2 linked regions of the Drosophila melanogaster genome follow. The protein of the gene in region 1 interacts with the protein of each later gene in a pairwise test. Each region holds a gene or a part of one and is shown on either strand. Other genes may lie near its edges. The genes, in order: CG14367 and CG14506.

What was found.
Region 2: the proteins of CG14367 (region 1) and CG14506 interact in a two-hybrid assay, tested with the Drosophila melanogaster proteins (one large-scale study listed by BioGRID).

What each region holds. Positions count from the first base shown.
Region 1 is NT_033777.3:13,691,761-13,696,013, forward strand, and holds CG14367 (uncharacterized protein), read left to right. Parts: upstream 1-2,292; coding exon 2,293-2,395; intron 2,396-2,449; coding exon 2,450-2,658; intron 2,659-2,713; coding exon 2,714-2,874; intron 2,875-3,022; coding exon 3,023-3,482; 3' UTR 3,483-3,753; downstream 3,754-4,253. Other genes in the region: f-cup (flyers-cup), read right to left, coding at 3,777-3,882, 3,946-4,131, 4,201-4,253.
Region 2 is NT_033777.3:29,293,057-29,299,146, forward strand, and holds CG14506 (uncharacterized protein), read right to left. Parts: upstream 4,125-6,090; 5' UTR 4,039-4,124; coding exon 3,999-4,038; intron 3,938-3,998; coding exon 2,763-3,937; 3' UTR 2,105-2,762; intron 2,030-2,104; 3' UTR 687-2,029; downstream 1-686.

The sequences.
Region 1 (4,253 bases):
AATTATAAATTAGTACACACATAACAGAATACAAGAAACCACGGCAAACAACAAGCAACAAACAACACACAGACCCCACACACCAACACCAACGAATGTTAGGATTGCATTGGCGGCAACGACATACAGCACAGTAGGCAAGCAAGCAAATAGCCGTACGATGTAAGATCGAACAAGAAAGCATAAATTTAAATTTTAGCATAAAATTTATTTTAAAGGAGAAGCAAAAACACCTAAAGTAAACGAGAAATTATAAATCTTACTTTACTAAATTAAATAACTACATATAGATATATATATATATATTCAAATATATATGCATATGAAAACACAGATAACTATAACTGATCAGCATCCACAAGCAGAGATGTAGTTGAGTGCGTGTTGTTGGAAAGTTGGCAAAGCAAAGCATTAACGAAACAAACCAAAATAAATTGTATTTAGTAGTTAAATCCCCCTCTCTCCAAACTGATATGAACAGCAGCAGCAGCGCCAGCGCAATGGAGGTGTGGTCAGGTGGTGAGGGAGATTTGTATACAGCCAGCGCCAGCACATCCATTTGCAATGTCTATCGTATGAGATCGTATGAGTTAACAGATCCTGTGAAGTTGGCTGCTGGCCCAGAATGTTTGTGCAATACTTTCGTGTCGATATTTAAATAACAATTGCAAAAGGGTGTATTTAGTTCTAAAGCCTAGACTTAACCATTTTTACGATCCTTCTCACCATTGAGATGGATTTTCTGCCAATTGTACTATCACTATCACGATACAGCGCTGTTTTCACTTGACAATTTCATTAAATAATTCTTATCGCGAAAGCATTTTATGAAAGTTTCTATTGCAAGCAGTGCTGTAAATAGATGTTTTTAATTTTAAAATTTAAACTATTCCCACAGCAGTAAAATGTTTTTTTTTCCATTAGGATTGCTTCTGTTTTTTGTGTAATTGCGATTGTTTTCTGAATATCAACCAGATTGCCAGGGCCAACTTGACGAAGTTTGTTAGCCGGCCCCTTGAGTTAAATGCAGATAACACTTGAACCCAATGAACCTTGTATATAATTTAGTCACTCTCAATGCGCGATTAGTTGATAACTGCCCTTGCACCACTGACGCCGACATTAAACGCATATATTTGCACTTGGAGATATCGAAATCTTTGCACATTATCGTGCTGTTCGAAATCCAGAGTCTTGAGATGTGTTGTCTGTGTAATTGACTGTGTAATTACAAACAATTGTTGCGCTATCCTTGCATTATTGAAACACACAAACAAAAACACAACACACATCAATAAATTATTAATGATAATGATAACAAATAGGACGTAAAGTTAAACTAATGTGGGGCAAACAGACATCAGCAAGCAGAGATAACAATAAAATAAAGTCTTAAGTAAAATAGTCTTCTTGAGTTTTCGAGTAAGTTTTTTTCGTATTTAACTATAATATTAATTTGTATTTAACGAATGTAGTAGGGCTCACTTGGAACCAATCCAATCCAATTCAATCCACACTCATACGCTCGCTCACACACTGAAACCAATTGACATCCCACAGCTACACTGACAGAAAGTAATAAAGTTATTTGTTAATAATCGTATTTGCCATGTGCGTTGCGTACTGTACTACATTTATTTATTTTAGTGTTTAAAGAACTTGTCACTGCAAACGGTTTCCCCCGAGCAACCGATCGTTCCCACTCCCGAAGTCCACGATCTATACCTATGATAGTACACCAATAAAATAGACGGGGAATACGTGTATCCAAACATTTGTCCTTCCAAGTTGATGTTTTTGTTTGTTTGATTGAGCAGCATTAACAAGAACAAGGATAACAACAAGAAACAGAAACGAAAACAAAACAAAATGATAATGAAAACGATAACGAAAACTAAGCGTAAACGTAAAGCGACAACACTATAGTTTATACATAGTATTTATATGAATCGTGTATTGTATATGATATGCTGTCTAATCCCTAATCCTAACACATACCCATTACGTCTATAATTTGAATATTTTATTTAGTTGTTAAAACATCCGTGCGTAAAATGCGATATATATAACTCTATATTATTATTATGAGTAAATTAAATAATAGTTTTTAATAGTTTTTAAACAGAAACAAATGGCAAAGCTCTCAAGTTGTTATTTTATTCAATATAGCAGCAAATACCTGACTGTCAGGTGTTTGGTGCTGGGTGGTTTTTCATTTGCCATGGCAACCGATTCAAGGACCAAACAAATGTCGACTATGCAGTTTAGTCACTTCTTTCAATTGTAGCTAAAATGTCGGTGGAAGACTCCTGGGTTTTCGATTCGCTGGTGTGCTTCCTGCACGGGCCCATTTGGAATGCTCCGCTTCAGACGTTCATAGAGCAAAAGTCCTTAGGTGAGAAGTCCACTCAGAAAATGTAATCGCCAGTAACGCAGGGATTTGGTGCAGTCTTCGATCCCAACCAGCAGTTGGATGAGAACAATCCGGACATACTGCAGATACACGAGGAATACAAGAATCTGGTGGACTACATGCTCGGCAGCTTCATGGAGGAGATGCAGATATCACCGGAGCAGTTCGAAATGGCCTGTCTGGAGGGTAGGCAGCAGGGTCAGGGCGAGAATCCCTTTCATTTCCACCAGGTGCTTTTCCAGCAGGTATGTGCGGTCGCACGATCTCACACAGTCGTGTCTCCAAGATGTCATCTTTCAGATATGGGCCGCCAACGATCTGAAGATATTCATACGGATGATGACGCAACGCAACGTGGAGCTTCAGCTGCAGGCCCTGGATCTCATAGAGAAAAATCAATTAGCCCCTGGTGGCGTCGAGGAGGGGGATGACCGCAGTGCGGACGCTAGCTCGGATCCAGGGTGGGTAATGATGTCTTATGCAATTGTAGGCACTTTGCCAACCAAATTGTACACGGGTTTTGGTAATTAGTAATCAATACTTCTTGTTTTTTGGTCATTATTCTATATCGCATATATATATTATATATGAACATTATACTTTGAACAGGGATACCGCCTCCGAGGTGGAACAAATGATAGCCAAGACGGTGTCTGACGAACTGGAGAGCCCCGAAGCGGCCCTAACTCCAGAGCAGGAGCCCAATCTGGAGCTGGTTAACGACAAGTTCCAGCGCCTGAATCTGTTCTTCGAGCAGGAGGATCGTGTGGACCCCAGTGATGTTGTCTCGCGGCAGGAGTACCTGCGCCAACAGCGTGACAAGATTGTGGAGATAAAGAAGCAGACGCGTGCAAAGCAACTGCAAGAGACCATGTCCCGCGGTACTCCACATGCACCGGAAGGAGCACGTCCCAGCTCCGCGTTGGTGGCCCAACAGCTGCTCGAGAATGGCGGCCAGACTAAGGAGCTCTCCATGCCGGCACCACTAGAAGCTGAGGAGAACGCTGCCCTGCAGCTCAGACGCAATCTTGCCAAGCGCTTGCGCAGCGAAGTGGTTGAGCAGAAGTGAAAGAAAGGACGCACTTTTTTCCCTACTATTCCCATTTATTGCAGATACTCAGCCAGGATTAACAACGTGCATTAGGTATTGTGGCATGCAGACTAGTTTGGTTGGTTGATGCACGGTGTGTGTCGTATGTTGTACTTGTAACGCCACCCCTCATCCATGTCCACAAACAGCCAATCCATAGATTGATTGTTTGTGGGCATGGTCGAGCGGATCTATCAATTTCCATTACGCTATTCCTCAAAATAAACATATTGCTAGTGAAGTGTTTCTCAAAAAACGGTGTGAATTGCTCTTCTATGTGGGTATGCGATCGCGCAAATACGACATGATGGCGTCAGTGCCCTTCATCAGGATTTGGTGGCGGGGCTGTCGAAATGGATTGCCCACCAGCTCCAAGTGACTGCAATATACAGAGAAAATAAGTTTGGCTCCAAACAATATATATCCCCAGCAAGGATCTTACGTTATGTTTGTCAGGTTCCCCAAAATTGGTGGCACTGTCTCGATGTCGTTATTGCGCAAATCCAATGTGCTCAAACGTCGCATGTTCTGCAGACCCGATACATTTAACATTTTTATGTGGTTCTCACTGGCAATGAGGATCTCCAGGCCTTGCAGCTCGTACACACAGTTGGGAATACACGGAAAGCTGAAAATAAACAAGTGGGAAGTTTAAATAAAGCTACATAGTTTAGAAAAGATATTTCCCAATACCCACCGATTGTTTGCAATGTTTAGTTCACGCAGTGTATTCAAGACACCAAACTCCGT
Region 2 (6,090 bases), about 16 Mb from region 1:
TATTTCTATGGAGTACTGCTGTTCTTCCTAAGAGCAGTCCTTACAATTTCTTCATATATCTACTATTATTTTAGAGAACAGACAATTACAATGCTTTTCTTAGAGTATTTTTGAAGTCATCATATTGCCGGTGATTATATTTTCTTTGGCAATGATCTCAATAGCCTTGAGTTTATTTATTTATTTACTTTAAAAACTTATTATTCCGCTTTGATAACATGATAGTTGTTGTAACACAAAGTCATTCCTTTTCGTTTAAAAGGAAAGTGCTCTAAACTGCTGCGAAATGTGTGGAAACAATATAACTCTTGTTACAATTACTAGATTTATTTGTCCCGCTAAAAATAAAAAACCTATGATATTACATGCCTTTAACAAGGCACGTTTTTACTATGACTATGGCCATTCATTGGCCTAGACAAAGGCCATTTAAAAACCCATTTCATACAATTAATAACAATAAAATTACACTAAAATTGCAACAACACCGCACACCCCCAACAAGGCGGAAGACAAAGGACACAAAGGCCATTGTCGCAGGATCTGATCCACTTGCCACCGCCGCCGCTATTCAAAGTAACTCGTAACTTTGGTCGCTTCATTCACGAAACGCACTGTACTATATAGTCGGCCACTGGGACACACAATGGGCGTGGCCCTGCGCACTCGACTTCGAAATCCAGAGACACCGAGTTGCAGGAACACATTGCACGTGCGTGAGTGCAACAATTGTCCTGCAAACTGCAATTGTGTCATGTCCTGATCGCTATTCTATCCTGTTTGTCCTGCACTGTCCAGCTAGAGAAGTGTAATTTTCCATTTAAGATCAACGATGTGAAAATTTCCAAGACGTGATTTTTACGTCGTTTTTTCCTTAAAGCGTAGCCATTGAGCTATTGTTTGCGTAGTTCATTAGTTGCCAGGACTCGAGTTCATTTCGATGGACACGTATATGTCGGGAAAATGCCGCCAAAAACGGTAGGTCGGATTTTCCTGCCAAACTTTGCCGCCTCAGCTGCGGTTGAGTGTTTTTTTTTTCGTGTGCTTCTTGCGAGTTTGGTGCTTCGAACATTAAACTAATTTATCACCAATATATGCCAGGATCCTGGGCGCACGGGCTGGGATGGGCTGGGAAAGGACACCCCTTTCGGTGGGAATCGCTCGTGTGTTGGACTTTTGTGTCTACTTACCATAATGAAAACATTTTCAAACATTTTATGCAAAGTCCTGACATGACCTTTGCCGAACCTCAACGCGCCGCGTCTCCCGTTGCGCTCGATGTCCTGTCCCGAGTGTCCTGAATGGGAACTGCAACACACACATGCATGTATATCTCATCCCATCCCTTACCGGTTCGTAATTTGCGATCTGAACTAGTTTTCGGCGTGGCCCTGTCATTATGTAGATTTTTCAGCCCGCGAGTACACGATCGCCCCACAAAAATTGGAAGGGGAATTCGAATACTTAGTGGAAGACACCGATGTTGTTGCTGTTAGTCGGGATGTTCCATGTTCACCGGGTTTGTTTACGGGGGTCATCAGGACTGGGATTTGTTCTCACAGGAAATATATGTGTGCTAGACCATAAACCTTGAAAGCACAAAGAGAACCAGATAACGATCCAGTCCAAATGTATCCACCGGCAAATGGGAAAAGGCAACACAAAGCCGCAATTTGGCTGGTGAAAATCATCGAGGTCGATCCATTTGCAGGACCATATACCCATTTATATGTGCAGCTCTACTACATATCCGCCTCCGCCGCGATGAGTGACTGCCGGGTTTGACTGTCTAAGCCGCAGGTACGAAGTGATTAAACGCCGAGCTATTGCCACCGCAATTAGGATCGCATCGGGATCGGGATCGGGATGCCCGAGATCCCAATAAAAGCCAAATTGAATCGGGGTCGGCAACGGAATTGAGAGCGGGGGCAACTAGTGCAGGACCTGCAAGGATGCAGCTGATAATGGCAAAGAATTGCGTCGTCACAGGTTCACAGAGATGGCCGGCCAAAAAGGAAGACAAGTAGTGCTGGGGGGGGGAGAAGGTAGAACAATTTTTTTAACATCAAACGAATAAAGGTCGCTCTCGCACACTCGTATTTACTGTGGAAAAGGGAGCTCCTGATTTGTTGCAAGATTTCTTCGTAAATGGCATAAAAAACTGCTCGAGAAACAAGGCGACAAGCCGTGGGATCGCCGTGGCCGTGGCTGTGGATCGTTGTTAAGATTGTTAATGGCACCCGACCTGTTCACGTCCACGCTCACACAATGTTGGACAATTAACACGGCCCAGCAAGAAGAAAGCCAGGTTTTTGGAGGCACATCCTTGGGAATGTCGGGCAGAACAGAGGCCGCGCTACAGAAATCAAGGCCCCCTATTTCATCGCATTTATCGCATTCCCGCGCCCCCTCTAGGAATTGTTCATATTTTGTGTATCATTCGGTCAGGGGCAGTACCGTCATCAGCTGATCCAGGGGATTAATTATGTTGACAGGTTGCTGCGATTCAAGTGCCTTTGAATTGGAATTGGAACTTTTTGTGTAATATGTTCACGTTTCATTCAAGCAGCTCCATTCATATCTTCCAGGAATCTAAGTCACATCCTTCGGCTTCCCTCAATTTAGAAAGTGTCCGACTTATGTAATGTATGCCATTTCCTTATAATGAAAGTGTTCTTTGAAGTTTCTTGGGAAATATTGCTTAACTATTGTTATATTGAATGATATATGATATGATAGATATGATTTGCATTTGGTAATTCCTACTCTTTCTGTGCGTACATCTGATCCGCAAACATCGAAATGCTGGGTCGGTCTTTCATCTCGCTGAGCTGTAGGTCGACGTAGTTCTTGGTCCGCCGATAAGCTGCCACATTAGTGTAGCAGTGATGGACATAGTTCTGACCCAAACTGGCTAGAACGGCGTAGCGGAGATCTGACTTGGAAACTTTTCGAAGAACAGGTTTGGGCTTAGGCACTAGGGGAGTGATCGGCAGAAGGCTCGGCAAGGATGGGAGCACTGGACTAGAGGCAGGAGGTGGTGGAGGTATTTTAAAAATAACTTTTGGAACGGCTTTATCACTAGGAGTTTGTGGCAGGGATGGGAGCACTGGACTAGAGGCAGGAATTGGTGGAGCTATCTTAAGAGTAACTTTTGGAACGGCTTTATCACTAGGAGTTTGTGGCCACTTTGGAGCTGGTGGCTCGACAGACTTGTGGGGCACGGCAGCCAGTTTCTTCCGTATGCTCAGTAGGAGCTTTGCCGAACTGGAAAGACCCTTTTCCAGGGCCCTCACCTCGTCTGAACTGGGTTCGAATTTCAACAAGTTAAAGCTCCAGCGGGAGATTCCAATGTCATTGGTTAATGCATAGGCATAGTTTCGATCAGATTTTACGGCGGTAAATGGACTATAGGACGTGGGTTCTACCAGTTTTTGAAGAAGCAATGATCTGTTAATTGGTGGCTTCGAATTCTTCTCTAAAGATTTGTGACCACTTTGTTTGGCGTCGTTTTTCTCTGCCTGCCTTACAGGAGCTTTGTGTGGCTGCGTTATCGTTGCCTTTGGTTTTTTTATGGTCCCAGAGTTTTGCTGACTTCCCTTATTTGTACTTTTTTCTTTCGCCTTGCGACAGTTCAATCGGTATCCCTTGATCAGATGTGGATTCGATTCGATGGCATGCTCCATGTATGAAGTGCGACTAAACCGCACCATGGCGTAGTTAAAGTTACTCATGCCATTCCTCACGCTGACCCTCTCCAAATCCCCAAATTTGCTGAAATAGGTGAACACATCCCGATGGGTAATGTCCTGGTCTAGGTCGGGAATGAACATCAGGCGATCGTGTTCCGGCTCGGGAGGCCGTCGTTCGGGTGGCTGGACTACCACTGTGCCAGGTTGGTACGTTTTCACCTTCTCTTGTAGGGAATGGAAATTTGCTAGGATTGTGGATAATTCAAAGTCCGTGAGAAGCTTAAAGTCCCCGATAGCCGTTCTCACCTGCCTTTTCCCCATAGACACTAGCTGGTTCCCTGGGCATGGCTTCCCCCAGCTGGGATTCACTAATCCTTGCTCTTTTTGGCGAAGGACACGAATCAAGTCCAGGCAAGTCCAATGGCGTGTTGGTCACTCCCAGGGGTTCTAGGGAAATCAAGGAGCTCCATGAACTATCCATGCTTTTTAAAGCCAAGTTGAAATATACTTGGTTGATAGACAAACCCAAAGCCAACTCTGATCAATGACTATTTATTATAAGAGTGGTGAAGTGGGGAGTTTTCCCTTAAAAATTGCCATTCATAGAAATAAATTCCCTAATTTTTACGCAGAATCTAAAGTCTTTCCCCTGAGGTTTCCCCAAATCCTTAAAAGTCAAACCTACTCAAACCTTTCCCATTGCATAAATGAAAATTGCACTTTCAGTTCATCGAGGCCTGGGAAAATTTTTATCCGTTTCGCACAAGGAAATGATTTGCCAAACTGAGCACAAATATTTTCATCGGAAATTTCATAAATATTTTATGAAACTGTAGGATCAAAGTCAAAGCCCCATTTAAGGTCCCCAGAGTGGCTGCCGTGCCATGAATGAATATTCGTAACGGTCGGCATTCCGGCTGCGATTCATGAAACTGTTGCCACCAAATCGTGGCCAAATGAAAGGAACCAGTAGGCCAAAGGCAAAAACCCAGCTGGAATGCGTTGGCAGTTTGAATGTCGCCTCAGGTGACAAATTGCAAGGCTTGCACAGGTTGTTCAGGTTGCACATAGCCGGTGTAAAAAGGACGACGACTCAATGACGCGGCAGGTTTCGTCGAAAAAATGTGCCATTTCGCACCTCCATAAAAACGTGTCCCGAATGGGTTTCCCTGTCATTTGCCATCAATGGACTGGGCGGCCTTCGGTTTCGGTTGCATAATGTTTGACTGCTGGGCGGAAAGTTGCACATGGCTTCTAATGTGCGATTTGCATTCGCAATCGGTCAAGGGTGCACCGGATGCGATGAATGTTTACCCAACTCGCAGAAATCAGGGCGCGCATCCCTTTCACGAATCCATCTGCCAGTGCAGATCCTGCACATCCTTTGCCACCCAGGTTACGTAAGCCATAAACAAGTGGACCATGGCGGACTAATAGACTTGTTGCCAAGGCCGCAGAGATCGCCTCCTTCTCACGCCTCGACTGCATCCGGGATTCCAGCTAAAAACGCGGCAATATCCCTCAGATACTCGGATACTTTGTGCGGACGTGAACTTCAGCCGTTTAGCCATTCAGGCATTCATTGATTCATTCATGAACATTCGCCCGCAAACAATAAGGACACAACTAGCAAATCTCTCTCGAGCACTTCAACGAACAATGAGGAGCCCAAGCAAATTTCGGTACGAGGACATTCAGTGTTCTCACGTTCATTTCGGCGATTTCCTTCGTCTTTGGGTGTTTTTTCGGCTCTTTTTTAATGTTGGCTTAAACCTCAAGTGACCGAGGGTTTGATGATGATTATGATGAGCTCACAGAGAATTTGCGAAAAAAAAAAAAACTAAACGAGAGAGGAGAAAGGAAAGCGGATACTCAGCCACTCAACCGGGTGTCCCGGCATCCTCATCATCCGCCGATCATCCCGGATATAGTTCGATATTTTTTGCGAGTTTCATCATAACGAAATTCCCTGAAATGCCCCAAGAACACATAATAATCAGAAGATAATGCCGTTGATTATCTCGGGAATGTCTATTCATCGCCTGGCGCTGTGTCCTTCGAGTCCTGCCGCCTCGAATTTCCCTCGCCGTGTGCGGCCTGCCAAAAAGTGAGAATTTATGAGGTTTTCACCAGCGCAGCTCTGGTGGTGAGGGAGTTTCCCTAGAAGTTGCGATTGGAGCCGTGCGGCAACTGTGGGAAAACTGCATTTTCCGGCCTGACTTTGGTGTCTACCAGGAATTTCGGCTTTTATCACGGATGCGAGATGTTGTCGTCTGTCGCTCATTGTTTGTACCAAACACAAATTTAATTTGATTACAAATCAGAGACAGGCACACATTTGCATTCAAGACTTTCCCAGTCACCCCGGAACCAAGAACTTAGAACCCGCATCCGAATC